Linked DNA regions of Struthio camelus. The main gene of each other region encodes a partner of the protein of the gene in region 4 in a complex. Links are inferred from orthologs where the notes say so. Each region holds a gene or a part of one and is shown on either strand. Other genes may lie near its edges. The genes, in order: E2F4, LIN52, LIN54 and MYBL1.

Region 1 (7,509 bases), on a different chromosome or scaffold from region 4:
AGCCCTCACATCTCTGCTTTCCAGCCCAGCAAGTTAACAAGGAGATGGAGTAATCAGTTCACACAAAGGATATCGACTGTTCTGCACGTCTTCTGTAACATTTTTGATGCTCTGTTGGACCCACATCTTCTGCTGCTCCAGCTCCTGTTCCCGCTGCTCCAAGTCTTCTATGTCTGCCTTCAGCTCAATGAGTTTGTGAGCTATTTCACGTGTGTTGCAGCCAGGACCCACCCCTCTGTGCAATGTGAAAAAGGAATAACATGCATCAGCGTCTTGAGCCATCCAAACCAACTCCTCTGTGCAATGTAAAAAGGAATAACATGCATCAGCGTCTTGAGCCATCCAAACCAACTCCAACATTTCTCTTGCTGCCATCTCTACCATATGCCAAGCTCAGATCTCCCAGAAAGCCTTACCTGTACCTGTCCTACACCCTTCCTAGCATAGCAACATTTAGCACATCCTCCTACATCCCACCGGCTAACAGGACTCTCCCACCCCAGTGCCACAGCAGGCATTTTTTCTAATCCAAGGCACTACAAATACTTCATCTGTGCTCAGATAACAGCTCCATTAGAAAAGGGACATGCCACATGTACTTCAGCTTTCCTCATTACTAGCAACAGCACAGCTCAGCTCGGGGAAGCACAAGCATGCATAGACCACTGAGGAAGCTTTCCCTGAGCAGGGCATTTTAACCACAATGTTTAAACAACAACCACATGAAGCCCTGCTATCCTGCATGGGGAAAAGACAGCTGTGAGATAGGACCTTGGACTAAAAGGGATCTATGAACAATTTAGTCTTCTCTGTCACTCACTTCCATTGGATACTGTTCTTCGATTTCTTCTCGATCAGTCCAATGCCTTCCAGGACATTTGTGATATCGTATATTCGTCGTTTCTGCCGCACCGCTAGGGTATCTGCAGCCTGCAGAAAAGTTGAAAACTTAACTCCAAACTCTCAGCCACCCCTTGCTCCCCACCTCATGCCTCTCTTGCCCCAGCGCCTCAAACTACAAAGCCATGTTCTTAACATCGTTACAACAATCAGAATTAGTCACTGCCCCTTTGTTCTTTTTCTTACCCACAGACCTTCCCATTAACCACAAATCTAATTCCAGCCACCTCATTCAGGGCTGGTGCAAAAATCATTGTTCCTCAACAATAAAGCTGTGCTAGAAGACACTAGTCTGGCAGCCTAAAAATTCAGTGCTTGTTCAGTGTAAGACAGATGAGAACGGACAGGAGAAGGTAGAGAGATGCCTATACAGTTGACCACTGTTCAGTAAAGTGGATGTTTAAAAGGTCTTTTCTATCTACATCTCATGCCATTTGATAGAGAGAATCAACACCTTCTCAAAAGGCAGATTTCTTTATATGAAAGAGTCTCCACTGGGGGAAGAATAAGTACAGTTATAAGGACGCAGCTCCTGAGCAACCCTCGTGCTTCCCTGCCTTGCTCGCTGCTGTTTTGCCCCAAGGGTTCCACTACTACAGTTCTCTTCAGCTTGCTGGATACTCCAGACAATGTTGAGCCTTTCGTTTCCACTTTCATAGGGCAATTTAGCAGCACTAGGTGTTTAGCTGGCACTGTGCTGGCATGCTAGAATACTACAGATGGCATTGCACAGCCAGTCAGACACAGATGGTCAGCACAGAAATGACTTTCCTCTCTCACACATCTTCACGGTAATGGACCAGGGCATTAGAGACCCTGCACAGCACTACTGCTCAAATCACACTGACAAATATGAATCCTAGTTAATGTATATTTTGAGCAAGAAAATATTGCTCTTCTGACAAAATCCAAAGAGCTAACAATTTGCCATAGCAGAGGACTGTAGTCTACAACCAGAAGACTCCTCCCGACCCTCCATTTTTAGGGCTTTCCCACACCTGCCTGGAGCCTATGCAGGGGTTGTCAGAGTGAACTCACACACATAGCCACATAAGAGATTGGTATAAACCACACTGAAAGAACTTCATATGCAGAGGAGGCCTAGATATAAGTATTGCATATTTCATTAAGAGAGTTCCTTTCTCTAGGTGAAGATCTTGAAAATGCATGAGCAAGGTGCACTTGCAGAACACTTGTCCATAACATAAAGGCATCAGGGCACAGTCCCGGCAGAGATGAATCTGATTTCACTCTCCTTCCTGCTGTATGTTAGAAGGCCAAAATGCAGTAAGGAGCAAGTTTCTCCATTTCTGCAGCTCTCCGATGAGGCATTACAGGGATCTATCATTACAACGTCTGTGTTCAAGTAGCAGCTTTGGGAGATTGGGGCACCATGTGACAGAGCAAACATGAGGCAGAAGGCATGTTGGACTGAACAGCACCTGCACCTGGCCTTCCAAAGCCTGGCCAAGAACGTGGAAGAGAAGAAGATAGCCCAACACAGTTCAAATAGAAATACAAACGCTGAGTGATGAGAACTATTTGGAAGGAAGCTGCAGGAGGGAATATCTACACTGTGATGGTAAGTACCCGGCCACTTCTGCATGTTCTATGTGCAGTCTGGTAGCTCTGCCACATCCCCAGCTCTTCCCGGGGACTTCTCTCCTAGGCTGAGCTCTTTATCTGCCTGATGAGGAGGCCTCACCTCCCTAGACCTGCTCCACTAGAGATCGCCATTTCCACCTACGCTCTCCCCCACAAAACCTGCTTCACTCCCCGGAGGACCAGCCACCTCTGTGCTTGCCGGCGCTTAGCTCAGCCGTGCCCGCAGGAGTTCCAGCAGAACTCCTCAGCTCCCCAGCTGCGCCGGCTCCCGACTCCCAACACCGGCGGAGCTCCCCTTGATGCTGGCCCCAGTGCGGCGGGGCGGGAGAGCCCTCACCACCCGCCGGTAGCCCCGCACCAGCTTGAGGTCCAGCACGCCGTCCTTGGCCTCCTGCAGCAGCGACACGAACTTGGTGGTCAGCAGCCCCAGGCTCTTCTCGTGCCGGCTCGGCGCCCCCGCAGCCCCGCTCCCACCCCCGGGGGGCTGCGGCCCGCACTCCGCCATCTGCCCGCCACCGCCGCCGCCGCCGGCTCCGGCCGCGCCGTGCTTCCGCTTCCGGGCCGCGGGGCATGACGGGAACTTCCGCTCCGGGGTGGCCTGAGGGGTGGGGGCGGTGGGGGCGCCAGGCGGGGCAGCGCGCATGCGCATGTGCGCGAGGTGGGGCCGGGGTGGGCGAGGATGGGTGGGGTGCGCGCTGGGTGCCGGGGCGGCTGCTGCCGACTAGCGGGGAAGGCTGGCCTCGGACACGGACGTCGCAGAGGCGCGCCCTGCACCCCTCCGCCTTTGTCCCCTCAGCCAGGTTCGCTAATAAAGACGTTGAACGGCCATTGGCCCCAGGACCGATCGCTGAGGGACACCACAAGTGTCTGGCCGCCAGCTGGACTTTGTGCCGCTGGGGTAACAACTCTTGGAGCCTCGGGGAAACTCGGTGTCGCGTTTATACAGCAGCAACGCAGTGGTCTCTGGTTTGCTCCCAGGTATTAGACCTTTCCTCAAACTTCATGGCAGCTTTGGTGTTTTGGGAGCCTTTTTTGAGGTACCTGCTACGTTTAGTTTGGTCATCACGGTAGATTATGAACTGGGTGTCCCTGCTGTATACCCTGCCTTCAAGTCGTACCTCGGATTTGCTGAGGTTTGACCCTCTTCCCCCCTGCACCCTGAAAGTCCTCTCAGGCTGCATTCATCCAGGCAACCGTTCGTTGGTAGTTTTGTTTCCAGAGATGTGTAGGGCAGCAGCCTCACCTGGGCAGAGTGAGATCTCTGACCGTGCCACCTTCTGGTGGGCTCCTGCTACAGATACAGAAAGTGCAATGAACACACAAACCCAGCTCACACTGCCCAGGCAGGCACCCCTGGGCAGCCAATACCGATTAGGGACACCTCACTACCCTCCTTGAGCCACACGAGCTGCTTTGCAGCCCTGCACTGCAACATCCAGCTGTGATTGAGACCACCCCACAAGGCAGGCACTGGGTCTATGTTGGCTGCATGCCCAGGATGAACCAAACTGGGGGGGGGGGGGAGGGGGAGGGGAAGAGGGGGGGTTGGGATGGGAAGGGCACACAGGACATGATTTCTATTTGCAAAGCCTGCGACCTGCAGTGACTACAGTGCCTTCCCCCGCTCCCCCCAGTTCCTGACATCCTGAGTGTGTCTGCGAGAACACAATGAGCCCCTGAGGAGTGTGCATGCACTCGCTGAGGAAACGGCTGCCGGCTTCCTCCGCACAGCCCAGCCCTGCACCCTGGAGCTTGCACGCAGCACTGAGACGATGGGCATGTCTGCGGAGGATGAGCACACCGTGAGCCCCAAAGGTAATGGGGACAGCGCGGTCCCCCACGGAGCTGGCATCCTGGGCAGGGGAGGGATACAATTACTGGCAGTGCATCTCCAGGGCTAGGGGCTCTCAGTGATGCCTGTGCTCCCCCAGCCTCTGCCCAACCATCTGATGGACCTTTTCCCCATGCCAGGCACAATGCCTTCTGCCTTTGGGTGGGTGGAAGCCCAGCCCTGCTTCCTGGCAGTGATAACCACAGCAGGCTGGGATCATCCCTTGCTGCGCAGGGTGATCTCCCCTCCTTCCTGATGAGCTGCCCATCTTTTTAGCACTTACTGGGGACAGTGCTACCCGCCGCACAGCTCTTCCCCAAACCTGCTGCTTTCCCCTGAAGTCCACGGGCCCAGTGCAGACAGGCTCATCAGGAGCATGGGACCCTAGCTCGGGGCTAGGTGATGTCCCTGTGGGGCTATGGAGGGTCCCAAGCTGGGAGAGCTTCTGGAGAAGGGAGAAAACAATGAATCCAGGTGCTGGGGATGGGGGTGAGCATGTGATAATTGTGCCAACTCTCAGCCCCAGTCCTGGAAAGATGGCCACTGGCATGTCTTCATACCCTGTACCAGGGCCAAGGCAGGACACAATGGCTGGCCCCACACAGCTGCAGCCAGTGCCTGTGGGAGACTGAAAAGTCCAGGAGCCTCCTGGCCTCACCTCAGTCTGACTCTGCCTTCAGTAGTGGAGCTGCCCAGGCAAGGGTGGCCCCAGGGCCCTCTAAATCAACCCCTCTGGGGACTCCTTCATGCAGAGAGACTGTGCAAGCTGTCGCCCCTCCATTCCTTCTGCTGACTCATTGCTGAGGACTCAGCCCTGCCAAGGCCTTCCCAGGTGGTGTGAGATCCCTCCCCCACCGGCCAACAAGGGGACACACTCCCAACTTTGGTGACAGCCTGAGCTGACAGGGCAGTTGGCAGCTCTTTGGGGTAGTCCTCTGCCATGACTGCTGCATGGCCTCCGACCTGTGTCACTGGGATCCCTCTTGGGGCCCTCCCGGAAGGGCCTGCTTGCTGCTGCCTTGTCTGGCTTCCCACATCTGTGTGTGCTAGAACATCCGCTTGTGGCCGGTTTCCTGCCTCTGGCCCTGGGGGCCCTTCCTGCCCCACAAGGAGAGGCACATTTCACTCATTAACCCCGGCTTCACCCCCAGATGAGGAATGGCCAGAAGTGGAGAAGGCTGAGAAGTTAGCAAGAGGAGCTGCTCTGAAATGGGCTTCAGGGGTGTTCTACTGCCCCGAGAAACTAGAAGGGCTTGGGCAGTACCGGAGCCGGGAAACACAGAGGAACAGCTCCATCCAGTCCCGGCTGAAGGTGGGTGTTTGCCACATCCCACCTGATGAGCACACACAGCTTGACTCTCTTCCCATGCAGGGATCCCAGCCAGGGTCTGGTCTTCTGCATCAAATCACTTTTTTTGCACTTCTGGAACAATCTTGTCTTTGTGCTGGCTTTTGATGGGAGAAATGCTGTTGTTGGGGGGGGAAAGAGCCAGGAGAACCCCCTCCTGCCCTAACCCTCTTGGTTGCAGTGTGGTTAAAGTGCTAAAATGGGATTCCTGCATCTCTCTCTGTAATTAGAAGCAAAATACCAAGGATATCCAATGCATCCCATGTGCAGAAACCAGTGCTCCCTGTTGCTTCCCTATCCCAGCACCAAGGGCTCCCTTTCTCTATGGCTGGGAGGAGGTGAAGAGCTCCAGCCTGCCCCATCCCTGCCTGCAAATCCGCACAGGAGAAACAGTATTTTTACACAGAGATAAGGGATTTAACTGGTCACTGTGCATGCCTACCTGGTCAGGGTGACTCTATGATCCTTTTTTATATGACCTCAAGAAACACTGACCTCAGGACGTGAGTGGTCTGAGCACCTTGGACCTTGTCCTGGCTATCCTGATTTCGGAGATGGTTTATCCTGCCCTAGTTGTGGGGAAATTGTCCAGGAGAGGACTAATTTTAAGTAATGTGGCTTCAGAGAAAACCTGTTTCTGTCAATGCTGGGTAAAAATGCTTCTTCATATCAGAAGCCAGAGGTGAAAGGGGCGGAGAGAGCATGGAGACGTACCAGTGCCACTGGAGGGCTGAAAAGATGGAAATCCATTTTGGAGGAACGTTTGTGTGGCCACTGAGGTGTTTCGTGCCATTAATCTGTCTCGGGGGCGCAGTGGGGACCTGTGTCCTGCAAATATTTTAGTATTATTTTAAAGCTGAAAGCAGACATCTGGGCCATTCCTGTCACTGGAGCAAAAGGGTGAAATGGGCCATTCCTGTTGCTGGAGCGGGTTTCTTGGGGCTGGGTGTACATGGGGAGAGCAGGAGCTGTGGGATAGGGACATTGTGGGAGATGTGGGAGATGTGGCAGCATAATGAGAGAGGCAGATGCAACCTTGTCGGAGTGCAGACCACGTGCTGCAGAGGCCTGGCAGGGCTGGAACAAAGGGTGTGCGAGTCCCCCATCCTTTGAGAGCTTCCCCATTGCTCCTTCATCCTCTTCTGCTCCCCAGTCGACTGTCCAGTCCTACCTGGAGGGAGTGAACGCAGGGCTGCAGCAGCTGCGGTCAGCGGCCGAGGAGGTGCAGAGTGTGTGCCAGGACTTGGGGGCTGCACGGTGGGCCCTGCTCGACAGTGCTGACCACTTCCAGGTCTTGCAGCAGATGCGGGCACTGATGGCGGAGCATGTGCAACTGGCCTCAGTGGTAAAGGTCCTGCCCCAGCTATTCTCAGGTAAGGTATTCACCCAGTCCTTGGGGGTTTTGGCTGAAAGGCACTTGGGAGTGCTCAAGTGCAACTCTGGCTTCATGCAGGGAGAGCCCCTTTGCTCTTTGGTGGCAAAGTTAGAGCAGGTTGCTCAGGCCTTGTCTGGTTGGGTTTGGAAAGTCTCTGAGGATGGAGATGCCACTGCCTCCCCAGAACCTGTCCCAGCACTGTTTTCGCGGAGCCCCAGGTCTCAGACCCTTCTTCTTGGGATCTTCCTGCTGATGCCCACAGCCCCAGCGCCAATCCCCTTCAACTCCAGTGCTCAATCTTGTCATTTCTCCTCCCTCTCCCACAGTCCATGAAGTTTTTTCCCATACCCTGCAGCTGCTCCACGAGCAGCACCTCCTGGAGGCCCATGCTGAGCTCATGATGTTGGAGCACCTCCGGGATGACATCCTCTTCCAGCTGCACCTCCATGG
Region 2 (7,804 bases), on a different chromosome or scaffold from region 4:
CATCCTCCCACTTTGTCTTTTACTAAGATATTGCTTTACTATACTTTAACTTCTACACTACTAAATGCTTTATACAGCCTTAACAGATTAGGCTCTGAAAGTAGAATGAATTTGTGCATGCAGGGGTGTGTTAAAACATGCTTAACAACCTATCTGGGAAGAAAGCATTAGAGTATCCTATACTTAGAGTCAGTAAGATTCTAAAGATAGTACTACTGCTTTTTGCTGTCCACTGAAAAAGAAGTGAAAGGCTTCACACCACGTTACTTATATCACCATATAAAGCTAACAAGGAACATGAAGGGTTTTTCCTAGTCTCAATGACAGTTTTAAAACTTTCAAAGCTTTGTGCTTACCCCAGAGTAACTCAAGTAGAGCCTAAGCTAAAGCAAAACCAAGCAGAAAATATTAAATAAGTAAATAGGTACCCTACAGACAGGGTTTAAAGGAACCTCAGTCCCCTTAAATCAGCCTGATAACAAGAGCCTTGAACGTGTTGATGAAGGCAATTCCTTCTTCAAAAGTTTGACAAAAATTGGCTGCTAGTCAGCGGGATGCAGTTCAACTTTAGTACTGGATGACATGAGCTCTATTCACAGCCAACAGTAGAAAAAAACCACCAATTACAGACGCTGGAAATTAACTATAAACACTAACTGGTAGCAGAATCCTACACACAAGTGAAAGTTCCACTGTGGAGATAGTACACTTAAGTTTCACAGAAATATTGGCATAAATAACCTGAAAATATTTTTAATATCCAAGTGGGAATTAAACAAAGCATGACAATTTATCTAAACCAATATAAATCAGGAACAGAAGTCTATGGGCCACTACACAACATCAGATGGCATAACCATGACCTCTTGTCGTAGAGGCTGTAAGTTCTCTCTCCCCATTTTGGAAGATCACATACACAAATTACCACCTTGTTTATCTATCACACAAATAGGTCTTAACTCAACATTAGAAATGAAACTGAAAGTTACAAAATTCTAAATGTGACCCATTAAGTCACACTGTGCACCTGACAGATTTGCTTTGGGCAGCTGCTAAGAGAGTATCATTCAGCACTCTTTCTCTTGGGAGGACTTCCTACTGCACCATTATTACTGTGAGATGCTTGCCAGGGCTGCCGATACATTTTCCAGCTATAGATATAGGATGAGTACATATTTGCAATGCAGTCAGCCACATCTGCCTACAGCACTTACATTCATCCAGTCCCAGCTGATAAGCCAGGTTCTGCAGGCCTCGAACCTTCTCCATCAGGTTAGCAGTAGTGAGGCTCCCCAACTCTAAAAACACAGAAAAGCATGATTTTTAACAGCGTATAGCCCTCTAGTGGCAATGTACCTGGGCTTACTACTTCACAGAGCACCTTCAAGTCCAACTTTTGACAATACCCGTTTCCACTGAACAAAATACATTCTTTAACTCTCACATTTCAAATCTCAGAAGCACGAAAGACTTATAACAACCTCAAAGTCGTTTTGCTTGCCAGAAATGCTAGGATCCAATGGTTCAAAAAATCACCGATAGTGAGAAAAATATCTTCACCTTTGTAAGCTCTCTAGCAGAAGCTTATTCGCACTACATATTTAAGCGAGCCTGTCTAGTTTCATGCAAACAGGTACCATTATCATTGCCTAAGGCATCACCCCAGGAAGCGTATTCTGCTATTTTTCTTCTTTGTTATTGCCATAGAGTTCTTCATGATCTTGTCTTACGCTATTTCTAAGCGGTTGAATTCTTTGAGTAAACTAATTCTTCCAGATCATTAGCATGGACAGCTTTTGAGCATCGATCCTGCTGTGTTCATTCCTTCACAACTCAGTACACTAGGCACTACTGAACCACAGCCAAGCAGTGGTATTCACATAGTCACCCCAAGTAGGTAGAATCTATTGCCTTAACCCTTTAGTTACACTGCAGTTGGTAGTGCTCCATGTCATTGAAAAATATTAGTGGATTCATGTGACATAGCTTGCTCTACACCACATTTTAAGAAAATATCGTCTACTTAGCTGTTCCTCCACCTGTCCCTTCTCTCCCCTTAAAAAGGAAACAAAAAAAACCCCCACCCATCTGCTTTAGTAATCTTACCTGCTACTCAAAGGCACTGCCCATACTCACCCTTTAACATATCAATATCATCATTTTCTAATTCAGCCATCCATTTGGGAGGAGAACTAGTAATAGGCTGTTTGAGGGGAAAAAAAAAAACATAGCTCAGAAAAGTGTATTTATAGCAGCATACAAACAAAATGTGGTCTAGGATTCTAGAAAATACTCACACTGACAGTAAAAATAAAAGGATAATAGGTGCTCTGTAGAGATTTTCCTACACTTAACCTAACTTTCTAACTTTTTCTATAATTTTTGAAAGTAACACCAGTACATACCACTCAAAAGCTGAAAACAGCATAAAGAACAGCATTTTCTACAGTTTTTCTAAAAATCTTTTATTTCTTCCAAGAACCAACACACTACATTCACAACAAGGTATAAGAAGAGAAGCAAAGGCTTATACTGAAACATTCTGAAGTTACAGTTAAGAAATATTTTAGAGAAAAAGGTCACGAAGCTCACAACAGGAAAAAGCAGATCTATCAACAGGCAGGAAACGGGAAAACACGAGGTGCAAACTAAACGTTGCTTACACTTTTGAAGGAGGCAGCAAATTCAGCAACACCTGGTACTGAAAAAAAAGAAAAGAAAACACCAGGTGAGCGGTTGCGGCTACAGAGCACTACGGCCTCCTGCCCATGGGCAAGGCCGCTACCGCCTGCCGAGACGGAGGGGCCCCACCAGGCCCCCCGAGGCGCTGAGGCCAACGAGGGCCACCGGGCTCGGGGCGGGACTTACGCTGCTCGGGCCACAGGTCCGGGGAGGCTCGGTCCAGCTTCTCGAAGCTCAGCAGCGAGGCCTCCAGGTCCGCGCCTGCAACAGACAGGGATGAGCCTCCACACAACCCACCAGCGAGGAGCGGCACCCCGACCACCCCCTCCCGCCTCACCGTCCCCGGGAGCCGCCATCTTGCCCGTGTCACGTGACCCGCCGCCACGGCCCGCGGGATCCGCCCACGTGACCCGCAACCCCCGCCCCCGAGGCCCAGCCCCGAAACCTCACGTGTCGCTGTGGCCGCCGCCACCAGGAGGCGTGGCCGCCCGCCGACGCTCGGCCAATCCGAGCTGCGACGGCCAGTGGGCGTCTTGGGGCGGGCGGCCAATGGGCACCCCGCAACGGTGGGCGGTGGGGCCGGGGGGCGCGGCGAGGGGGCTCTCCGACGGCGATTGGCCGAGAGCCGCGAGGGCGGTCCAGGAGGGGGCGGGGAGTGGGCGAGGCCGGCGCCCAAGCGGCCAATGAGAGCGCGGGGGCGGTGCTTCGGGCCGCGGCGGGTCGGGGCGAGGGGTGCCGTCGGGGGGCGCGGCGCAGCACTCTGGCCCGGGATGGCGGCGGCGGCGGCGGCGGCGGCGCGCGGCGCCTGGGGCGGGCGGCGCGCGGCGCTCAGGGTGAGGCGGCGGCAGCGGCAGCCGTTACCCCCCCGCTCCTCTCCCCACCCTCCCCCCGCCGTGGCGGCGCGCCGCGGCTCGGTTCGGCCCGGGCGGCGCAGGGGGGCGCGGCCCGCCTGGCTCGGGAGCCCCGCGCGGGGGGCGGCGGCGAGGGGCTGCGGCGGCGGGGGGAGCAGCCGGTGCGGCCCAGGAAGGGCGGGCAGCGCGGTGGCGGCGCCGCTGGGTCGGCGGCTGCCTGGCCCGGGGTGGGGGCGGGCCGGGCCGGGGGCGCTGACCCGCCGTCGGGAGCGCTGCCCGGAACCGCGTTTGTGTGTGTTTCCGTCCCGTCCAGCTGCCGCGGAGAGCCGGTGCCCCTTGGATCGCCTCAGCCGCCGCCTCCTCCTCCTCCTCCTCGGTGGTGAGTCCGGCGCCGCGGGTCAGAGCCAGCGGGCGGGGGGCGGCGGGGGAGCCCGCCCCGGCCCCAGCCCCGAGGAGCCTCTCTGGCTTTGCTCCTGACACAGCCAGAGACTTTATTCCAGTCTGCTCTTTTGAGGTCGTTTCTGTCGGTTCGCCTCCCCGTGACTCCTGCCTGGCATCTCTGGAGCAAACACTGGCGACTCGCAGGGAACAGGGCACGGAGGGCCCCTTTGGTCAATAGGAGGAAAGGAAAGAAAAACACTAGTTAGACGTCAGATGTGTTTGACTCCAGAGTGAAGGAGTACCAGCTCTGACTGAACGCTCCCTCCTTGAGCTGTGCTCTAGCCGTTAGTGCAGTTATCCCACGTTACTTTTTCTATCGACTCCTGCGCGTGTACCTAAGGACGATATGCTAGTTCGGTTGACCACTGCTTGGTGTTTTGTTTTCTCCGTGTTTATTAAATAGCACACAGTTTACTAAGTAGCCAGGTTTTTTTCTGATTTTTAGACTTCCTTTGCTGTGTGTGATATATCTTCAGTTAGTTAGAGCAGCAAAAAATAAAGAATATGTGATTAATGATCCTGTGTGAAAAAAAGGTTATGTTAAGTTGTATGACTGGCCTCACGTAGTCCATCTATGGCAGAGACAGAATCTGCTTCTCTTAGGGCAGTATTTAACTGCTTTAGCTAGTATAGTATCTTTTCTCATCTGCTATCCACAACTGTACAGTTTCCAAGTTTGGAACAGATAAATCATGATTGTCCAAAAAGTCTGCTTTTCCACAGTCATTGTTCCCAGAACAGGCTCATTCTCTAGAGAAGAAGAGCAGGGGCATCTTATGGAACAAGTACAGTCAATATTGATTCTAGCATTTCCTAAACTGTAGAGTGTAATTTTTCCTTGCATGAGGAATTCCCTAAATATGTTTTTTCAAATTGCTTAAAAAAGGTAAGTTCCATTGTACCGAAGCCCACATGGGTCATGTAGCTTTGGAGCCTATATGTCCACTGCAGATATGTGCTACGTGGGCTTTTTTTTTTTTTTCTACTCTCATCCGCTTTTGACTCTTACTGCTTGTCCAGCCAATCCCATTTCTTTTCCTGATTCTTCCTCTCATCTCTGTCCCTTCATTATGCCTTGGAAGGCATTGCAATCCTCATCTCTCTCATAATTCTATGGCCTAATTTCTTTCCTTCACACAGCTCCCTGATATTTTTTTTTTATATTCTAATCTTTTTGTCAGGCATGTCCCATTTCTGTTCTTCATACTGCAGGTCTGTTTCCCCTTTATCTTATCTGTTCTCCCCACGCCACTGCTTTCTGACCTCGTCTCCCTGCAGTTCTTTATCCTTCCTCGCTGTTCTCTGCATGATTAACTGGTTCCCGCTTTCTCCTGGTTCTCTCCTTACCTCCCAGTATCAACTCTGTACTCTTAGTATCCAGTTTCTTCATTTATGCAGTCCCATTCTGGTTTCCTGCTTGCTACAGTCTTGTTGCCTATCCAGTGATAATTACAGCTTCTATCCCTGCTTTTCCTCCTGCCCTAAATTTAGCTGAACTTTTATTCCAAACTTTGCTTTTCTCTGTTCTGCGCCTGAATTGCAGAGTTCTGTCCCCCATGCTGCCTGCCAGGACAATCGCTGTGACTTCGGTGGATGTAGTTTCCTTGCTTTTAGTTCCAAGGCCAAAGGACCATTCAGTTTTATGCCTGCAGCTATGAGCTGGGGAGGTGACTGACTTAGTGGCTTGATGGGAATGAAGTGTGTAGTACAGTCTGCACTGGGTACATGGAATTCTCACGAGGTGGAAATATTCACCATTTTTTCTGAATATTTATGAATTGCAATTTTTCAGTCTTCTAACTTGGTAAACTTTGGGTGATTGAGTAGACTGAAATACTTCTGAATATAAGCATAACAATGTATTTTTTCTTGAACTGCTTTTAGAAAGAATTATGGCCAATTCCATTAAAAAAGGCGGGGGGGGGGGGAAAGGGTGGACAGCATGAAAAAATTCAGCCTGAAGAATTAGCTGGACATAACTGTAAAGTATTGGGACTTTGCCCTCTAACAGGCAGCATAGCAGTGAGTGGTGAAGGCCTGCCTGTAATAAGGCACGTTAGTGTGTAGGCACCTTGAGGCAAAGATCACTCATTGTCCCGTGTTTGTCTTCCACAGCCAACAACCAAACTGTTCATTGATGGGAAGTTTGTTGAGTCCAAAACTACTGAATGGATCGATATCCACAACCCAGTAAGTGAAATGGCCTCTGCGTATCTATCAGCAGTCACTGTGCAGCAAGGGTCTGTGCCTCCATTGAGTCATCTGGTGGGAGGGAAAAGTACCTATATTTCTTGAGAAAGTCTTAGACTTGGAGAATAAGACAGATTTAGAACTGTGCAATTGCTTCTCAGTTGCATCTTCATATGAAATGTCAGTCTTAGGAAAGTGATGACCTCCTTTCTCTCCCTTGTGTAGTAAAACCCAAAGCCATTTTATCCAAATATCCAAAGAGGAAGTTTAAACACTACTTACCTTTCTTTTGCTCATGGAAAGGCTTTGAGAAGAGTATTGCAAATTTCGGAAGGATTTCTTTCACCCTGTATGTATGCAACCTCGTGTGATTTGATGTCAGCTAAATGTAAAAGTCCTTATAGAGATTGATTTCACTCTCAGACCAAGGGGAACATCCTGACAGCTGAAGCTCCTCCTCTCTCCTTTGAGAGAGCTTCTATCTGTGAGCCACAATATTCACAGTGAATTTAGACACTTGATGCTATGCAATGCAAAACTTAACTTAGATTAGTAGCACTTGCACCCATCTCAGTTCTACACCAAGGACAAATGGAAATGGGACTGTGTTCAAGGTTCTGACCTTGCAGTAAGCCTTTGGACAGCAGTTTCTGAAGCTTTTCTCTGTAAAGCCTTATTTTCATGAAGCTCATTTGGTCTCTGTGGAGTCTCCATTGGCTGTGGAGCAGCCATCGTTCTTGTTTCCTTTCGTTCCTGTTGTACTTGTAGTTTCTCTCTTAGTGACGTACCTGATATTTTGTCATGTCAAAGCAGATTTCATTTTTAAGAGTGCACTAGAAGGAGGTTAAACTGGTAAAGACAGGATTTAAAAGTTAAAATATTATAGAACTAAAGCTGATCATAAAAATCTCACTTCTGCCTAGTGATTTAGGTGAACAGTAACATGAATGCAAATTGCACAATCACGTGCAGTTTGCTACTTTTTTCAAAGGACCCTTGCCTCATTTAATGTGCAGGAGAGACAGCAGATGAGCCAAGACAATAGAGAGGGAAAAGGACACAGTCCACAGAAACCTTTGCCTTATCCACGCGAGAAGCTGAAAGATACGTTATATCAGACAAGTCACTTCAAATCAAGCATTTCTAAATCACTTCTAAATTTTCAGCTTTTTAGGTGCCTAATTTGAGATGTGTAGAGTGCAGAGTTTCTAAACTACTGAATACACAGAACTCCAGTTGTAGCCTATGCCTTTCATGTGCACCAAGAGAGGAGTCTCTTTTGTACTCTTCCTATGGAAATACAACTCCTTTTAGAATAAGGATATCAGGTGTGTGGTGTGAAAGGAGAGTTGAGTGGTTGAGAGCAATAGCTGGAGAAAGCTGAGCTTTGATGCAATTTGTTTTTTTCCATCAGGCCACAAATGAAGTGGTTGGTCGTGTACCAAAGGCCACAGCCAGTGAGATGGAGGCAGCTGTGGCTTCATGCAAAAAGGCTTTTTGGAACTGGTCAGAAACATCTGTTCTGAGTCGTCAGCAAATCTTGCTGCGTTACCAACAGCTCATCAAAGACAATCTGGTGAGATATCTGTAGCTGAGTGTGATGGCTGTTGCTGAGTGCCTGGCAGCTGATTCTAGGAAGT
Region 3 (7,374 bases), on a different chromosome or scaffold from region 4:
AACAGCAGACACTTCTTGATAAGTAATATGAAAAATTAACCTTGCATAACTGAAATTTTTGAAACTAGCTGCGTTACCATAAGCATGAAGTACCTCTTGAACTCATTGGAGAAGCTCGGCCGTATTTTTCAAGACACTCTCCAAGTTAACCTTTAGCAGTGCTTTGCCTATGGACAATACAGGCATATCTCTTTCTATTGGTTAAATGTAAGTATGTACATGATACAAAACCAACACCTATTACTCGGTAGTACACATGTAAATTGGATGTTTTAGGGAATAAAAGGACATATGTAAGGCATTTTACTCTGAGGAAAGATTTCTCTGAAAGACCAAATACTCTCAGGCGATAACCCACTAAGCCAAAAAGCTATTCTGAATGAACCAGCCAGGTATATTAGGACTTGCTTATTTTAACTAACTTTATGTAAACTTGGTAAAGAACATTCAGTATTATTTTTCTATATGTACTATTTCCTATAACAATTCTAATGTGTTTCAGGCAACCGTTTAGAAGGATGAACCTATGGAAGGTCATTCAAATACCTGTTTTATCTTTAGTTAACATCTTCTGACAGCTTTTCTCGCGTTCACGTTATGTTCTAGAGGTCGACAAGTTCACACGCTCTGAACACTCAATGCTTTCCAGAACTCAAAGCTGCCATATCAGAAGTTACATAATTAGTACACGATGTGCAGAAAAGTAAAGGCCACCAATAATTAACAACACATTCTGACCAGCAATATACACCATAACGAACGAGAAGCAAAAACGATGAAGTGAGAAGCTCAGACTACTTGGCAAGACAGTCCAGCTAATTCACTGCAAACCACCGGATTCTCCGTTTCCATGCGTCCTTTTGGACGGAAAGTACAGGTACACCTTCACACTTCAGCCGGTAGAGGAACTACGGACAATACCGCGGGCACTTGTTACCACAACCTGTTTTGAACGACCAACTGTGGCTCCCAAGCCGAGCATCTCCAAACACAAAGACAACCTGCCCTCACGGAGGGCAAAGTCCACCACAGACACGGAGTTGCAGGAGAGGCCAGCCAGTCCTTCGCCAGCGACCCAAACCTGAGCTGGTTACGTGTTGTCAAGGAGTAACGGGATGAGAGAGTCCGAGGGCCTAATTCACCCACCAGTTTGTCCTGCCTCCTGACGCGAGCAACTTACGGAGCAGGCCGCCCGGCGCCGGAGCGAGGGGACCGCCACGCGCCATCCTGGCGACACCTGCCCGACCATCGGGCGCCGAGGACCCCTCACCCTTCCGGGTGCTTCCCGTCATCCCCAAACACCCCCCCGCCTCCCCCGACACGCCTGGGCAGCAGGACCGAGGCCGTGCCGACCCCCCGGCGCGGCCCCGGCAGCGGGGCGGGGATCCCCCCTCCCCTCGACACCCGCCACATTTGGCGACAACCAGAGCCGGCGGCCGGGGGAAAAAAAGGGGAGGCCGGGGGGGGGGGGCGGGGGAGGGAAGCCGCCGCCGCGACCGTTGGAACGGCCCGGCCCCGCCAACGGCCGCCGGCGACCGTTAGGCCCCGGCCCCCTCCCGCCCCCCACCCCCACCCCCCGGGCGCGCGCGCGCGGCCGCCGGGGCCTCACCTCAGCGGGGCGGGCGGGAGCCGCCGCCGCCGCTCCGTCAGCGGCCGCGACCGTATTTCGAAAGATCCGCCATTTTCACCTCGTCATCGCCGCCGCCCGGCGCCGCGGCCCCGCCGCCCGCCCCCCGCCGCTCGCCCGCCCCCCGCCCCCCCCCCCGAGGCACCGGCGCGGAGCGGCAGCGGCTGCTCTGGCGTCGCTGCTTCACCTTGAATCCCGTCGCTCCGCTACCGCTTGCGCTGCGGCTTCTTTCGGGAAGCCGCAAGGCAAAGGACGCTCGTTAGGGCAGCGCGCATCTCGCTCGGCTTCCGAGGAGAGGCACGTTTAGCCCATCGTTTCCTCCCCCACCCCAACACCATCCTTTAGTCGCTCCATCCGTATTTCCCTCCGCGGCCGGCCTGCGGTGCGCTCCGAGGAAATGCAAAGCCAACGCAGGCTGCGGAGTTACTTCCTCCCGGGCGACAGCCCGAAGCAGCACAGATGACGGCTCTGCCCTGCTGTCTCCCGCTTCTGGCCTCCGCCGAGGGACACGGGCAGCTGCAGACGCCAAAGCGGGGCAGCCCGCGCTCATCAGCGGGCCGCGGAGCCCCCCCAAGACAGCTACCGGGCAGCGGGGGCGGAGGGGCGACCCAGTGCCCCCCCACCCCGAGGAGCCCCCACAAGCAGACGGAGCCCGCCCCGCCGCGGGGAGCGAGCGCCGGCGGGGCCGGGCCTGCGCCCTCTCGGCGGGCGGCGGCCGGGACGCCGCTGTCAGCGCCGAGGCACCGCCGCGGCCGGGAGACCGGGTGTCTCCTCCCGGCCGTGGCCTCCTCCAGCCCCCCGGCACCGTGCAGGGCCCGGTGCGCGCCGCCTCCCCCCGCCGCCGCCGCCGCTTTCCCGCCCCTCGCGCTAGCACTCACCGGGCTGCCGCTCTTCCTCCCCCGCCTCCCCGCGCCGCCGCCGCGCTCCCGCGCTACCGCGCCCGGCGGCGGCAGGAGCGGAGGCGGCGGCGGCGGCAGCAGCGCCCGCCACCAGCCGCCGTGTTTGTTCAAAATCACGCGCCCCGCGCCATTCCACCGCCGCATCCCATAATACTGCGCAGCGCCGCCCTGGCAACCGCCGGCGCAGCGCCCTGCGCGCGCCACGCCGCCCCGCCCCGCGCTTCCGGCTCCCTCACACTCCCGCCTCCTCTTCCCCCTCCCCACCGCCACCACCCTCGGTCTCGTTCGCTCCCACGGCTCGCCCTGCTTCCGGGGCGGGGCCCGCGCGCGCCGCCGGCGGGGCGCGGGCCCCACCCCCGCCTCCCCCCCGGCACGCGCGCACATATGCATTTCTGTATGTTATATGCGGCTGGGTGCGGCCGTACTGCGTCTATAAATGAGTTCGTGCGTTTTTCGGGAGATGCGGAGCGCCGCGGTTGCGGCCGCCTTCCCCCGCCGCCATCACAGCCGGCCGGGCCGCCCGGTGTTTTGCCCCGCTCGGTACAGGGCGTGTTTTTTACGCGCCGGGCAGGCAGTGCCGCCGTGACAGGCCGGCGGCGGCGCCCGCCCGCCCGCGCCACGTGACCGCGGCGCGCCACCCGGCGGGGGGGGCAGAAGCGGCGGCGCCTCTCTAGCCTTCCCTCCCGCGGCTGCTCTATGGTAGGAGGAGGCGCGGCCGCCGCCGCAGGGCCTGATCGGCGCCGCAGCGAAGATGGCGGCCGCGGTGAAGCAGGACCTGGCGCAGCTGATGAACTCCAGTGGCTCCCACAAGGACCTGGCGGGCAAGTGAGTGCCGGCGTCCTCCTTCCCTTGGCGGGGAAGCGGCGACTGGGGGCAACGGCTGGGGCCGCGCGGCCGTTTTGGGGGGGAGAGGGGATGGGGCCGCGCGGCCGTTGCTGAGGAGAGTCCGCGCGGCCGTTGGTGGGGGGGGGGGCAGGGAAAGAGCCGGACGACCGTTGATGAGGAGAGTCCGCGTGGCCGTTGGGGAGGGGGGGAGGTCGTGGGACCGTTGCTGAGGAGGGTCCGCGCGACAGTGGGCTGTTGGGGGGGGGAAGGAGTCGCGCGACCGTTGCTGAGGAGAGTCCGCGTGGCCGTTGGGGAGGGGGGGGGGAAGGAGTCGCGCGACCGTTGCTGAAGAGAGTCCGCGCGGCTGTTGGGGTGGGGGGGGAAGGAGCCCCGCGACCGTTGCTGAGGAGAGACCGCGCGGCTGTTGGGGTGGGGGGGGAAGGAGCCCCGCGACCGTTCATGAGGGGAGTCCGCGCGGCTGTTGGGGTGGGGGGGGAAGGAGCCCCGCGACCGTTGCTGAAGAGTCCGCGCGGCTGTTGGGGTGGGGGGGAAGGAGCCCCGCGACCGTTGCTGAGGGGAGTCCGCGCGGCTGTTGGGGTGGGGGGGGAAGGAGCCGCGCGACCGTTGCTGAGGGGAGTCCGCGCGGCTGTTGGGGTGGGGGGGAAGGAGCCGCGCGACCGTTGCTGAGGAGAGACCGCGCGGCTGTTGGGGTGAGGGGGAAGGAGCCGCGCGACCGTTGCTGAGGAGGGTCCGCGCGACCGTTGGTGAGGGGGAAGGAGCCGCGCGACCGTTGCTGAGGAGGGTCCGCGCGGCCGTGGGGGAGGGAGGGAAGGAGTCGCGCGACCGTTGCTGAGGCGAGTCCGCGGGACCGTTGAGGGGAGGGGAAGCGGGGCGCGATGTCCTCGCCGCCAGCGCCATCCGGGGTCGCCGGAGGGGCTGCTGTCGCCTGCAAGTCGAAGGCTGCGCGGGCTCCCGGCCTCCGGGCCAGCAGGCATAGCTCTTCGCCCTGACGGTAGGGTGCTTCTGGGTCAGCTCTTGAAATAATATGATTCGTCCTCTTTTTCCTGCTTGTCTTTATTATTGTTTTCAATGAAAAGTGCCTCTGTGCTCTCACTGTCCTAGCGCAGGCCCCTTGGCAGTTGTGCTGGGCCTTACCGCTTCACTGTAACTCCTACACCCCACCCCATTCTGGGTGCCTGTCCGATTTCAGCTATCTGTCCGAAAACTGAGCAAAAGTGATAGACCGTGGGGATTTTCTTTCCCACAATTGCTTCATATGCGTGCAGAACTCCTCCAATGTGTTTTTACTAAAAAAGTCAACAATGAAAATTTAAATTTAAGTAAGGTATTTTGGATATGAGATGTGGGATTTGACTTAATCACTGTGCAGTATATTACCTAGTTTCTTTCTTTCAATTCACTTGAAATTCCTTCATTACCAGTCCAATTCCTTATTTTCTAGAGGAATTGCCTCAGATCTAGGCACTTCATATTTAAAAATTCCTGAAACGTTCCCCTGAAAATGCAGCTTCAACATGAATGTAACTCCTTTCAATGTTGTACATGTTAAGATTATGGCCCAGTAAGAGTTGCACCGGCCTTATACAACTACTACATGAAAGCTGCAGTGAGTATGATTTGTTAATATTTAAACATTTCAATAATAAATACTTTATAAAAATAGGGTATATTCCCTGCCTATGATACCATCAAGTGTCTATAGTATACTGTTTACTTCCATCTCTCACCCACCACTGCTTCTTGTTCCCCCTGAATCTGCCATTTTTGCACTTCTGTCACCAGTTACTGATTTTAATATGCGAGGGATATAACGTTCTTTACGTTTCCTGTGCTTTCTCTTTATGGCAAGACAGAAAAGCACTATCCCAGGAATAGGTTGGGGTTTTGATTTTCTTAAAAGGCATTTTTCATTGCAGATATACTAACAGATTTGTAACTATGTTACGGTGGAAACTAGTCCTGGAACTTTAAAAAGACACAGATACCAGTTCCAGGCGAACGTTCCTGGAATTTTAGCATAAACACTTGGGCAAACACGCACCTCGAAAACACAGCAAATGTAAATAGAAAAAGCACTCTAAGGAAGAAAATAAGCACAGAAACAGGAATACTTAATTTAAAAAAAATATGAAATATGACTTTTTCTTTTTTAATCTGTGGGCAGATATCGTCAAATATTGGAAAAAGCCATTCAGCTATCAGGCGTCGAGCAACTTGAAGCTTTGAAAGCTTTTGTAGAAGCAAGTAAGTGTGTCTGGTATGACTGTTCACACACTGACTAAATGAAGGTCTGAACCTGTGGGATTGCGTATTTGTTAGCTCTGCATGAGGCTAAATAAATGTATAATATTCTAGTCATATTAGAACTTAAACATGACTAGAAGAGGCACCAAACATCAGCATATTCAGACTTGTAAGTTTTCTGAGTTAATGGAACTTTCAAACCTATTAGTATTACAGTGTCTGAAGGTAGACCTAAGCACTGTGTACAAATGTAAACTAGTCTTTGTTGACTGGTAAAATGGATAGTGGATAGAAAGCTGTCTTTAAAGAAACAACTCTTCTCTCCTTCCAGTTTCAGGTTAATGGGGAAGATTGCCAAGAAGAAATGGTTTGATTTCTTTTTGGTGTTGTATTAGTTGTTTGGCTTATTGAGTACTTAAAGAAGTTATATCTGCTATATCCGATTTAGAATTTTAGAGTAAGCTTAGTGAAACTTAGACTAAATGTTTACTTTGTCTGAAACGTTTTAGCAGCTGAGAACAGCGATTCAGAATGAAACATCTTCCTAGGCGATAAATCAGAGCAAGAAAGACACTGCTATTCACCTCAGTTCTAATCTCTGGCAATCTCTAGTGTAAACAGATAGCATCGGTTTGTGAGAGAAGGAAAGTCATCTTTGGGCGGGGGCAGCCCATAATTTAAATTTAGATTTAAAAGTTGAAGAAGCTCAAATTTAATATTAAAGCAAGTGATTGAATGGCTATAGACCACTTACAGTGAAAGTGCTGACATGCGTTTCTTCCATCTTATATTCTTCTTCCATGTGTCTTTGAACCAGTGGTGAATGAAAACGTCAGTTTAGTGATCTCACGTCAGTTACTGACAGATTTCTGTACCCATCTTCCAAGTCTTCCTGACAGCACAGCCAAAGAAATATACCACTTCACCCTGGAAAAGATACAGCCTAGGGTCATTTCATTTGAGGAGCAGGTAAGACATCAGTGAAAAGCATTTCTGGTTTACAGGCTTGGCTTTGCGGTGTAACTGCTAAATATTGTTAGTCTTCAAATTTGTTGTTCAAAACAGATGTTCCTACTTAAAGTCCAATTTGGCATTCTTGTGCGAGCAAAACTTTTGCCAAATGCTGTGAGGATATGGGACTGTGCAAAGAATACAGTCTTTGTTTCTTAATCAGGATGCGAGGCATGTAATTCCTCCACTACCAGAAAATGGCTTCTTACAATGAGACAATACTTGAGCTACTGGAAAAGCTGTCAAGATACAGACTGGTACTGATTATTTTACATATTACCCAACTAATGGCATGGGCAAGTGATTGAAAAGAGAAGTATTTTACCAAGTAGCTTCTGTTGCTACTTAACATTTAAAAAAAAAAAACAACCCACATTTAAAACTCTTTAAGCCCAGAAATGTTGTACCAGAAAAAATAGTTTCCTAGAAATCCCACCTCTACAGTAAACTGCTGAATACGTTGCAGTTCTTTTTTCAAGTCTGTCCTTGGTTTTCTTGTACAAGTACCTCAGTATTTGCTGAGAGTGGTTACTGAAGATGCTTATATAAACATCTTACTGCATCTAATATTAGGACAAAAACCACGCAGTTGCTGTCATGATTTGTATTTGCATGTTGACCTTTTGTCTTTTTAAGCAGCTTTCACTCTAAAGCTTAACTGAATATGTTTCCCTGCATGTTATAGTGATTATGCAGAAATTAAATTCAAGGCATCACATGGCTACTTCTTTTAACCACACTTCTGCT
Region 4 (7,944 bases):
TATGAGGTGCATATGTGTTTACTGATGTACTCCAAAAAGGAATGTTTAGTGCATGTCATGGCAAACTTCGTTTTAATTTTTTTTTTACAGCAGTCCTGTCAGTATTTGCAAATTTAGTACTTTGACTCAGCTAAGGCTTTCAGGATCTATTTCCTACAAATTAAGAGCATATGTATTACTCTGGGAATATGCAGGAAGGTTAATTAAGCACTTAATATTTCAGGCTCCTTTGATTTTTTTTTTTTTGACTGAATTATATATTAATCAACACTAAAACAAGACATTTTATATTATACGAGGCTGAAGGACATAAATCCTGTCTCAGAGTGGTTTTCATTCCATAAACTGTTCGATTCCAACCTTTGTAGTTCAAAGACTCTTGTCATAGCTTTAATGTGAGGAAACCTGCAGTCTCATCGTCTCTGGATACAAAAAGAGTATTACAGTGAGTGCAGGTCGGTGCTCAACACCTATATAGCAAGCAGAAATCAAAGACAACTCGTACAAAGACTATTCCAACAGCAATTAAATAACCAATTGTGTGTGTTTTTTTTTTTTTCTCTGTGAAAGAAGCAATGACACTGGTTCACCCCTGTGACAATAAGTTGTAAGGTTTTTTTTTCCTCCTGGGGTTTTCAGGATGTACCAAGGACTGAGGTTCTCATGTGAATGCGCAGGGGGCGCTGCAAGCCAAGGTTTCTCACTCGCCCGGGTTGTCAGTCAACTTTCTCATTGGGGCTGGGAAAGGAGGGCCGGGGCAAGGACATCCCACCTATATATGTGTACACACACACAGACACACACACACACACATATAAATGTATGAAATAGGCACATGCTTTCAGCTGGAGCGCATGTGGGGTGATTATTTTTTCCTGTAGATCCAGTACTATTCATAAATTAAGTAGAAACTATATATTGGGTGTGTTATCCAAACATGGATGACGTGTATATAAATAACATGAGATAGTTGAAGAACTTTACAATATGGGTTTATTTCTTTGTAAGTTTGCTTCCTGTGTAGCTTTTGCGTGACGTCGGGGTATTGTTAGACTAGATCAATTTCACAGCTCATATCTTTCCACAGTGCTGAAATATCTCAAAGGAGAATGCAGTTGGGTTTAAAACATACAAATGAATCTATTATTCCAGCTAGTATTCAAAATGACCATCAATAAGCCTTAAAGCAATCAAAATCATTTGCTGCTGCTCACATGTTACATTCTGGGGAAAATATTACCAATTCTGATGTAAATGACTACAGATTTCTCAAAGAAATGCATCCGCTGCCTGGGCTGAGAACAAAATAAGGTGCCTGAATGTTTCTGTCGTATACAGTTAATGTTTATAAAATGGAGTAAATTTTTTCTTTCCCTGTGATCAAATGCCAATAGCAATCAAGGTTAACTGCTGTGTCACTGTTGTTGAGCCACTGTATTTCAAAACTCTAGTGCAAGAGTATGGAGGTTGCACTTATTGGCTTAAGAACTTAATCGTATTGTAGAAGAAATGAGAGTACCCTATGGTGGCATACAGTATGTTGAAAAACGTTCCAGTACAGAGGTAGACCTTTCTCCTTCACTGAGCTCCACATGCTGGCATTAGGCCCCAGCTCTAATAAACCTTGAAATTCATGCCTGCGCTGTTCTCGAGCTTCTGAGAGTGCACCAAATCGCCTAAATAAATGTCCCTAAAAATCCCTATTTGAATTTTCAGCTTCCGATAATTTTTTGAGTTTTGAAACGGTTACATTTTCTTTATGCTTATAACTCAGCTTCAAAGTTTTGTTTGAATGAGGCTTCATGCATACCACTAGCTTGCAGCTTAAGACTTGGTGTAGGGGGATATCGAGAAAACACACAGATTATACTAGAATCTAGTTTGAATTTCATGGCAGTTGCATGTTCAGGAAGTTACTTTCTCTATTGTGGTGTTTACCAATCTTCTGTAAGTAAATCTGTCTCTGAAGTGAAGACAAAACATGTGTTTAAAAGAAGAAACCATGTGCTGTTTTGATGTCTCCTTTGGCACCATTCGAGAAGGTAAAAATCACAGTAAAGAGCTGAGTGTTAGGGCCTCTGCACCCAAGAACTGCAATCCATCATCCCTTTTTAGATACTTTATCCCTTAAATGCAATCAGAAGACATGAGCGTGGTACCTGCAGTACCTCGGGCGTCTGAAACAGCAGCAGCGCAGCAAAGTCCTGCCTGAATCAGTGCATTTATGCTGTGCCTGCCTAAAAGCTGATCACCGAGGAAAGGAGATCTTTAAACACCGACTCCAAGGGGAAGGTGCTCCCAGGTATTTTGGCTCACTTGCTCACAACCCCTATCGTTCGGGCAGGCCTTCGCTCCGAGGAACCCTGCAGGGTTTGTGTTTCTGTTTACACAGCCACAAGAGGATGTGGTGAGGCATTTGGGTGCTTCTCCTTTTGTACAACAGCGTGGTGGTTAGGGCCATCGCCCAATAAGTGGGATGGCTGGGCTTGAGTAAACCCGCATTTCTTGTTTCTCAAGCAAGTGCTTAACCACTGGGCATCACAATTTTTTGGAGGAGGGGGAAACGGGAGGGAAGGGGGAAGGGCTATCTCTGAGCTGCTTGCTGAGACTGTGCTCCTGCCTGGCAAAGAATTGCAGAGTCACTGGCCCAAAGAGAGACTGTTCCTATATATTTACATTAAACTAGCAGTTGGGAACATACAGATGGGCCTGGAAGCAGCAACCCTGCTGCTTCCTCCCAGGGGCTACCTAACCGCTACGGATGGACTCAGCCTCCCTCATTTTTACTCGCTCTTACGACTACCATGATTTATTTTTTGGTTTTTTCCCCCCCTCCTCATTCTCCTCTCCTTCACACAACTTTTGAAAAGAGGAATAAGGAGTATTTCCAGGCCCGAGGACTTTATTCTGATGCGCTTTCCTGGGAGGTGGGAAACGCTGAGCTGAAGCAGAGGGGCAGGTGGGTCTGGCTCAGCCCGGAGCGGCGGTGTGAAGGACAGCGGCAGCACGCGAGACGTGCAAACCGGCACCGCAGCCGTTGCCCTCCTGGGTCACGTTTCGACGACGGGGACGGCTGCCGCAGGTTTTTAGCTAGGCGCTGGCTTTGCCAGACTTGGACCGGGTAAAGATCTTGATCTAAAGCTGGTCTGATCCGAGGCAGTTCATCGGCCTCCAGGGATCTTAGAGTTCATAACTGGCAGTGTCTGTGAAATATAGGCACGTCCAGGGCTAGTCAGACCTTGGGCTTTTAGTATTACAGCTGTGGATTTAGGCACGTGATTTATCCGTGGTAAACACTTAAGGTGAGAAATACTATGCATTTAAGTGTATCTCATCTAGGACAAAATTAATAATTCTATATATTCACGATCTATTCATCATCACAATACTATATATTCATATTCTTTTTCACTTTCTAGTTTTCATGGCCTTTTTGCTTACGGCTGCACACAGTGGAAGAAATGCGTAGTTAGACTAAGTCCCGAGTTCCTGAAATAAAAATGGCATAGAGGTACTTAGAGTGAACGTGAAAATACACACACACACAAATATAAAAATTCAAGCCTCGGGTGTTTTTTTTGTTTTTGTTTTTAAATACAACTGTTTATTACAAGGTGTGTGAAAGTCGCTACTTCCCGAAGAGCGCAAGAACTAAGAGCAGTGTCTGCTGTAACGGGCTCTGTCGCGGCGGCAGCGGCTGCTGCTGCTGCTCGGCGGCGGCGCTGCCCGAGGTGGGGGTCGGCCGCAGCCCCGGCGCCACCGCGAGGGGCGCGGCGAGGCTGTAAGGCGCGGGACGGGCGCTTCAGGCAGCTCCCTTCGATAGCTCAGCTGGTAGAGCGGAGGACTGTAGAGGCGCCGCCCGCCCGCGGGAATCCTTAGGTCGCTGGTTCGATTCCGGCTCGAAGGAGGCTTGGTTTTGCGCCGTGCGGCGGCGCGCTGAAAGCGTCGGTTTTTTTTTTTTTTTTTAATTTTTTTTTGCCAGTCAGGAGCGCGCGCGCCACGTCTGACAGCGCCCGGGGCACCGCGCCGCGCCGAGGCGCCGCTCGCGGCTCCGGGCTGCCCGCCCCCAGCGACGCGGCGTTATACGGGGCGGGGGGGGGGGGGGGGGAGCGGGCTGGCGGCGAGCCGAGCTCGGGCCTCCGCCGCCCCCGCCCGCGGCGCCGCCGCCGCCCTGTCAGCGGCGAAGACTCGCTCCCCCGTCATGCCTCGCGCCAGCCGCCCCCCCCGTCCCCGTCGCAGGCCGGCCCCGCCCCCCTTTCCCCCTCCCCCCGTCCCCCCGTCCCGCGGGACGCGCGGCCCCGCCCCGGTCGCGTGCGGCGGCGGCAGCCAATGGGGCGGCAGTCCGCCTGCGCAGATTCAAACGGTGGCTCTGGAAGGAGGCTGGGCGCGAGATTCGGCGGCACCATCCAAACCCGCCGCGAGCGCGGCGGTGGCGGCGCAGCCCGGACCGCGGGGCCGGCGGAGGGCCGGGGCGGCCAGCGGGCCGGGCCGGACTGAGGCGGCACGGCACGGGAGGAGGCGAGACGAGGCCCGGCGGGGAAGCGGCTCGGGGCGGGAGGGCGCCGCCGGAGCCCGCGGCGGCTCTGACAGGAGCGAGAAGGCGCAGCTGGGCGAGAGCGGGGCCCCTGCGCGTCCCGTGCTTGCGGGCAGCGGCCGGGCTGAGGCCGAGCCATGCCTGCCGCGGCGGGTGCGGGGCCGGGCCGGGGCTGAGGGCGGCCGCCAGCGGGCTCTGGATGCCGCGGAGCTGCGCGGGGAGAGGGGAGCCGTCAGAGGAGCCGCGCCCGCCTGAAGTCACCGCCAGCCGCCCGCCGCCCGCCGCGACGCTGTCCCTTCCGCCGCCCCGGGGCGGCCAGCGGGGCGGCTGCGGGAGGAGGAGCCCGGGCGGGGGCTGCACCCTGCTGCCTTGGCGCCCCCCCCCATGGTGCGCCCCGAGGATGGCGAAGAGACCGCGCAGGTGAGTGTGGCTGCGCGAGCGCTGCGCCATCTTACCCCTCCCCCGGCCAGGCCTGCCCGGTGCCGCCCCCCCCCCCCTCCGCGGCTCCCCGGGCCGGGCTGTGCCGGCTCCGCTCGTGGCCTCCCGCGCTCTGGTGTCGCTCCCGCTGTCCCTCTCAGCCCTCCTGGCCCTGCACCCCCACAGGCGCGGCACCCGTCTTCCCCCTGGCTGCCCCGCATCACCTCGCGGGTATAAACTGCTCCTCGCACCTGTAGGCTGCTCCCACCTGCGCCCTTTTTTGCTCTGCCTCTTTGTTGTAGCTTACCTAGGCAACCTCCTCGGCTCCTGCTTCTTGCGGTCGCTGGCCCTGTCCCCCACGACAACTTTGCTTCCACAGTGACTTTTCCTGCTGCTTGTTTTCCTGCTGCTGGTGTGTTATTTCTTGCTTTTCTATTTCTGAGTTGTTTCTGCGCTGCCTGCATGTCAGGCTTGAGGCTTGAAATTGATGTTCAGGCCTGCTGCTTGGCCGAATATCTTAAATGAACCCGTTTACTCTCACTTGGCATGTTCCTTGATTGAGGATGTCATAAGCTAGCCTGAAATCTCCTGAAGAGCGTTTCTCTCAAACTTCAACAGCAGCCCCAGATACACTTTTCTTTCATTTATAAGAAAACACATGTGTCTTCACTTTGTATTTAAAAGATGAATGTTGGAGAACTGTTTTATTGCCATGGTTATTTTTGCCCTGAATAGAAAATCAGTTTCTGAAAACTGATAAAGTAGTGCTTTAAAAAAGGATTGGGACTGAGAAAGCTTTCACATTAGTATTACTCATTTAGCATCTTTTCCTATCTATGGCATCTGGGGTTTGCTGTGAAACCATGCTTCCTGTGGAAGTGAGGATGGCTTCAAAGTTTCACTTACAAAATCTACTAAACCTGCCTGTGCTGCATCTCTTCTGAAGAGTGAAAGAGTTCACAAATTAATATTATTTTTCTGCAAAACTGAAAGTCAAACAAGAAGGCAGTACTTTTGGGCTGTAATTGTGTAAGAAATGGGGAAAGGTTCATTAAGAGGCTTTGCTTGCAGAGGGTAGCTGCTGGAACTGTCATAATTTAGCAGTCTGCAAGACAACAGTGCATAGAGAGTGTTTTCTGTTACTCTTAACTTGCATTCCGTAACTTCAGAAATTCCATCTATGGTATTGTAACCGATAATTTCATCTTTACAAAGCTGTAACTTGTATTTTCCCTTACGGATATGAAGTGCTTTCATCTTATATTTGAAAATAAAACTAGTTGTGGATCGCAGAGGAACTTCTGGTTCGAGATCAATAACCCTAGAAGAATACCTTATCAGTGTATGATGATGACATTCCTGAAACTAATCATCATAGTATAAGTTTACATCGAGATGCTTTCAAGATCATTAATCTAGATGTAGAGTAAGGAGGAAATATAACTGTTTTGTTCCACATGGTATTAAGTTTAATTCTGTTAAACTATGCTTGATTTTTTCGCATTTGGAAGATCTGTTTTTTTCTTTCAATGGTACCCAACTCAGAGCTGCAAAATAAAGGAAGAGAAAATCAAGGTGAGTTTTATTTGAAGATAGCTAGCACAGAATTCTTGAAGTACTTTTTTTTCCCCCCTAATGTTTCAAATTTCTTGTTTGATGAAATTACATGGCAGCGTTCCACTCTCATGCAATATTTCACTGCAGTTTCATAACTGAGAAAGGTTATTGTAGTTCCTTTGACAATTCTAACACATTTGACAGTCTCTTCTTCCCCCTAAAGCAATATCTGAAGTTAATAGCCCCAGACCTTCACATACATTTAACTTACAGTCTACTGGTGTCCCATTCTAAGCGAGGCCAAAAAGTAAACGGCGCTTCGTGTTGACCCGAGGTGCAAGGGGGCTTGCTCTGTGGTGAGCTGGTTTTCGCCCATGGACGTGGGAGGAGGGGGCCGGGGGGCGCGGGCAGGGCTTGGAATGCGCCGCCTCCCTGGAACCTGAGGGTGAATCCGTCCCAACTGCCGCTGCCAGCTGGGCCCCCACGGCTTCCGCTGCCCTCCTCGGCACCAGCGCCTTGTGTCCAGCATCCTTTTCTTTCTTTCCCCTCTTTTTAAAGTGTTGTTATTATTATTAAGCTTTTAGCATGATGTTACAAACACGAACTGAGCATCAGATGGTTCCTTGTTATCTTCCTGAATGTGAAGGCAGCTCGACCTAGAAGGGACATGTGAATTATTCCTCTCAACAGCAGTGATTCTGAAAACGGAATACAATGGGTTAAACAGAGATATTATTTCAGTTCTAATTATTTTAATAGAGCTAACTAACATTGCTAAGTTGCAGAAGATTATATATGACTATGCAGTAATGCCTGTACTGTTCTGACTTCCAAACTGTTAGTTTTAATGTGGGGAAAAAGCTGTGGTGTACCTTTGTGGAAGTTTATAGAGCACTGATCTTTACCTAACACTTTCAGTATGTCAGTGAAAAATATTTTGAACTTTAATATTAAACACCTAACCATTTTACACTTAGAATATTGATTAAAACTTTTAACCTTGAATGAAACAAAAATGAATTCAAGTCAATTTCTTCCTGCTGGTCTAGAAAGCTGGAGAAACTAGGGAGCTGTCATACTGTGTGTGTTTGATCACTGAGTTTAGGCACCCTAGTATAGCTCAAATACATGCACACTTTAATGTGTAAGGAACATAAGTCATATCTTCTCATCTCCTTGCAAATCTACAGGTGATCTAAGGATAAGTGTTAATGTTTTATGATGCAGTAATTCTTTTTAGAAGTAACGATTAGTTTATCTGAAGTTGTCACTTTTTTTTTTTTTAAGTCTTAGTTATTTTTTTGCCGATCTTGTATAAAACCTGGTACATTTTGGAGGTAGTAACTGAGTGAAAATTAAATTAATGGCACTGTGTTATAATTTGGAACAGAATGTAGAACAGCATTTTACATTTACATTATCTGATTCAAATGTTG

The links.
Region 1: MYBL1 (region 4) and E2F4 share a complex: the UniProt entries of both Homo sapiens proteins name them as parts of the DREAM complex. The link is inferred for Struthio camelus from reciprocal best matches to the Homo sapiens genes MYBL1 and E2F4.
Region 2: MYBL1 (region 4) and LIN52 share a complex: the UniProt entries of both Homo sapiens proteins name them as parts of the DREAM complex. The link is inferred for Struthio camelus from reciprocal best matches to the Homo sapiens genes MYBL1 and LIN52.
Region 3: MYBL1 (region 4) and LIN54 share a complex: the UniProt entries of both Homo sapiens proteins name them as parts of the DREAM complex. The link is inferred for Struthio camelus from reciprocal best matches to the Homo sapiens genes MYBL1 and LIN54.

What each region holds. Positions count from the first base shown.
Region 1 is NC_090951.1:24,433,951-24,441,459, reverse strand, and holds the start of E2F4 (transcription factor E2F4), read right to left. Parts: upstream 3,060-7,509; 5' UTR 3,011-3,059; coding exon 2,843-3,010; intron 931-2,842; coding exon 821-930; intron 236-820; coding exon 74-235; intron 1-73. Other genes in the region: EXOC3L1 (exocyst complex component 3-like protein), read left to right, coding at 4,278-4,320, 5,488-5,648, 6,838-7,057, 7,386-7,509. UniProt on the Homo sapiens protein: Transcription activator that binds DNA cooperatively with DP proteins through the E2 recognition site, 5'-TTTC[CG]CGC-3' found in the promoter region of a number of genes whose products are involved in cell cycle regulation or in DNA replication.
Region 2 is NC_090946.1:57,307,170-57,314,973, reverse strand, and holds the start of LIN52 (protein lin-52 homolog), read right to left. Parts: upstream 3,125-7,804; 5' UTR 3,039-3,124; coding exon 3,020-3,038; intron 2,944-3,019; coding exon 2,869-2,943; intron 2,702-2,868; coding exon 2,664-2,701; intron 2,204-2,663; coding exon 2,137-2,203; intron 1,299-2,136; coding exon 1,215-1,298; intron 1-1,214. Other genes in the region: ALDH6A1 (methylmalonate-semialdehyde/malonate-semialdehyde dehydrogenase [acylating], mitochondrial), read left to right, coding at 3,453-3,515, 3,847-3,912, 6,090-6,164, 7,579-7,740.
Region 3 is NC_090945.1:10,330,035-10,337,408, forward strand, and holds the start of LIN54 (protein lin-54 homolog), read right to left. Parts: upstream 3,147-7,374; 5' UTR 2,952-3,146; intron 2,731-2,951; exon of another isoform or gene 2,506-2,730; intron 2,146-2,505; exon of another isoform or gene 1,815-2,145; intron 1,722-1,814; exon of another isoform or gene 1,610-1,721; intron 1,180-1,609; exon of another isoform or gene 659-1,179; 5' UTR 569-658; coding exon 547-568; intron 1-546. Other genes in the region: COPS4 (COP9 signalosome complex subunit 4), read left to right, coding at 3,278-3,351, 5,537-5,616, 6,434-6,585. UniProt on the Homo sapiens protein: Component of the DREAM complex, a multiprotein complex that can both act as a transcription activator or repressor depending on the context. In G0 phase, the complex binds to more than 800 promoters and is required for repression of E2F target genes.
Region 4 is NC_090943.1:132,430,055-132,437,998, forward strand, and holds the start of MYBL1 (myb-related protein A), read left to right. Parts: upstream 1-4,788; 5' UTR 4,789-4,934; coding exon 4,935-4,954; intron 4,955-7,944. UniProt on the Homo sapiens protein: Transcription factor that specifically recognizes the sequence 5'-YAAC[GT]G-3'.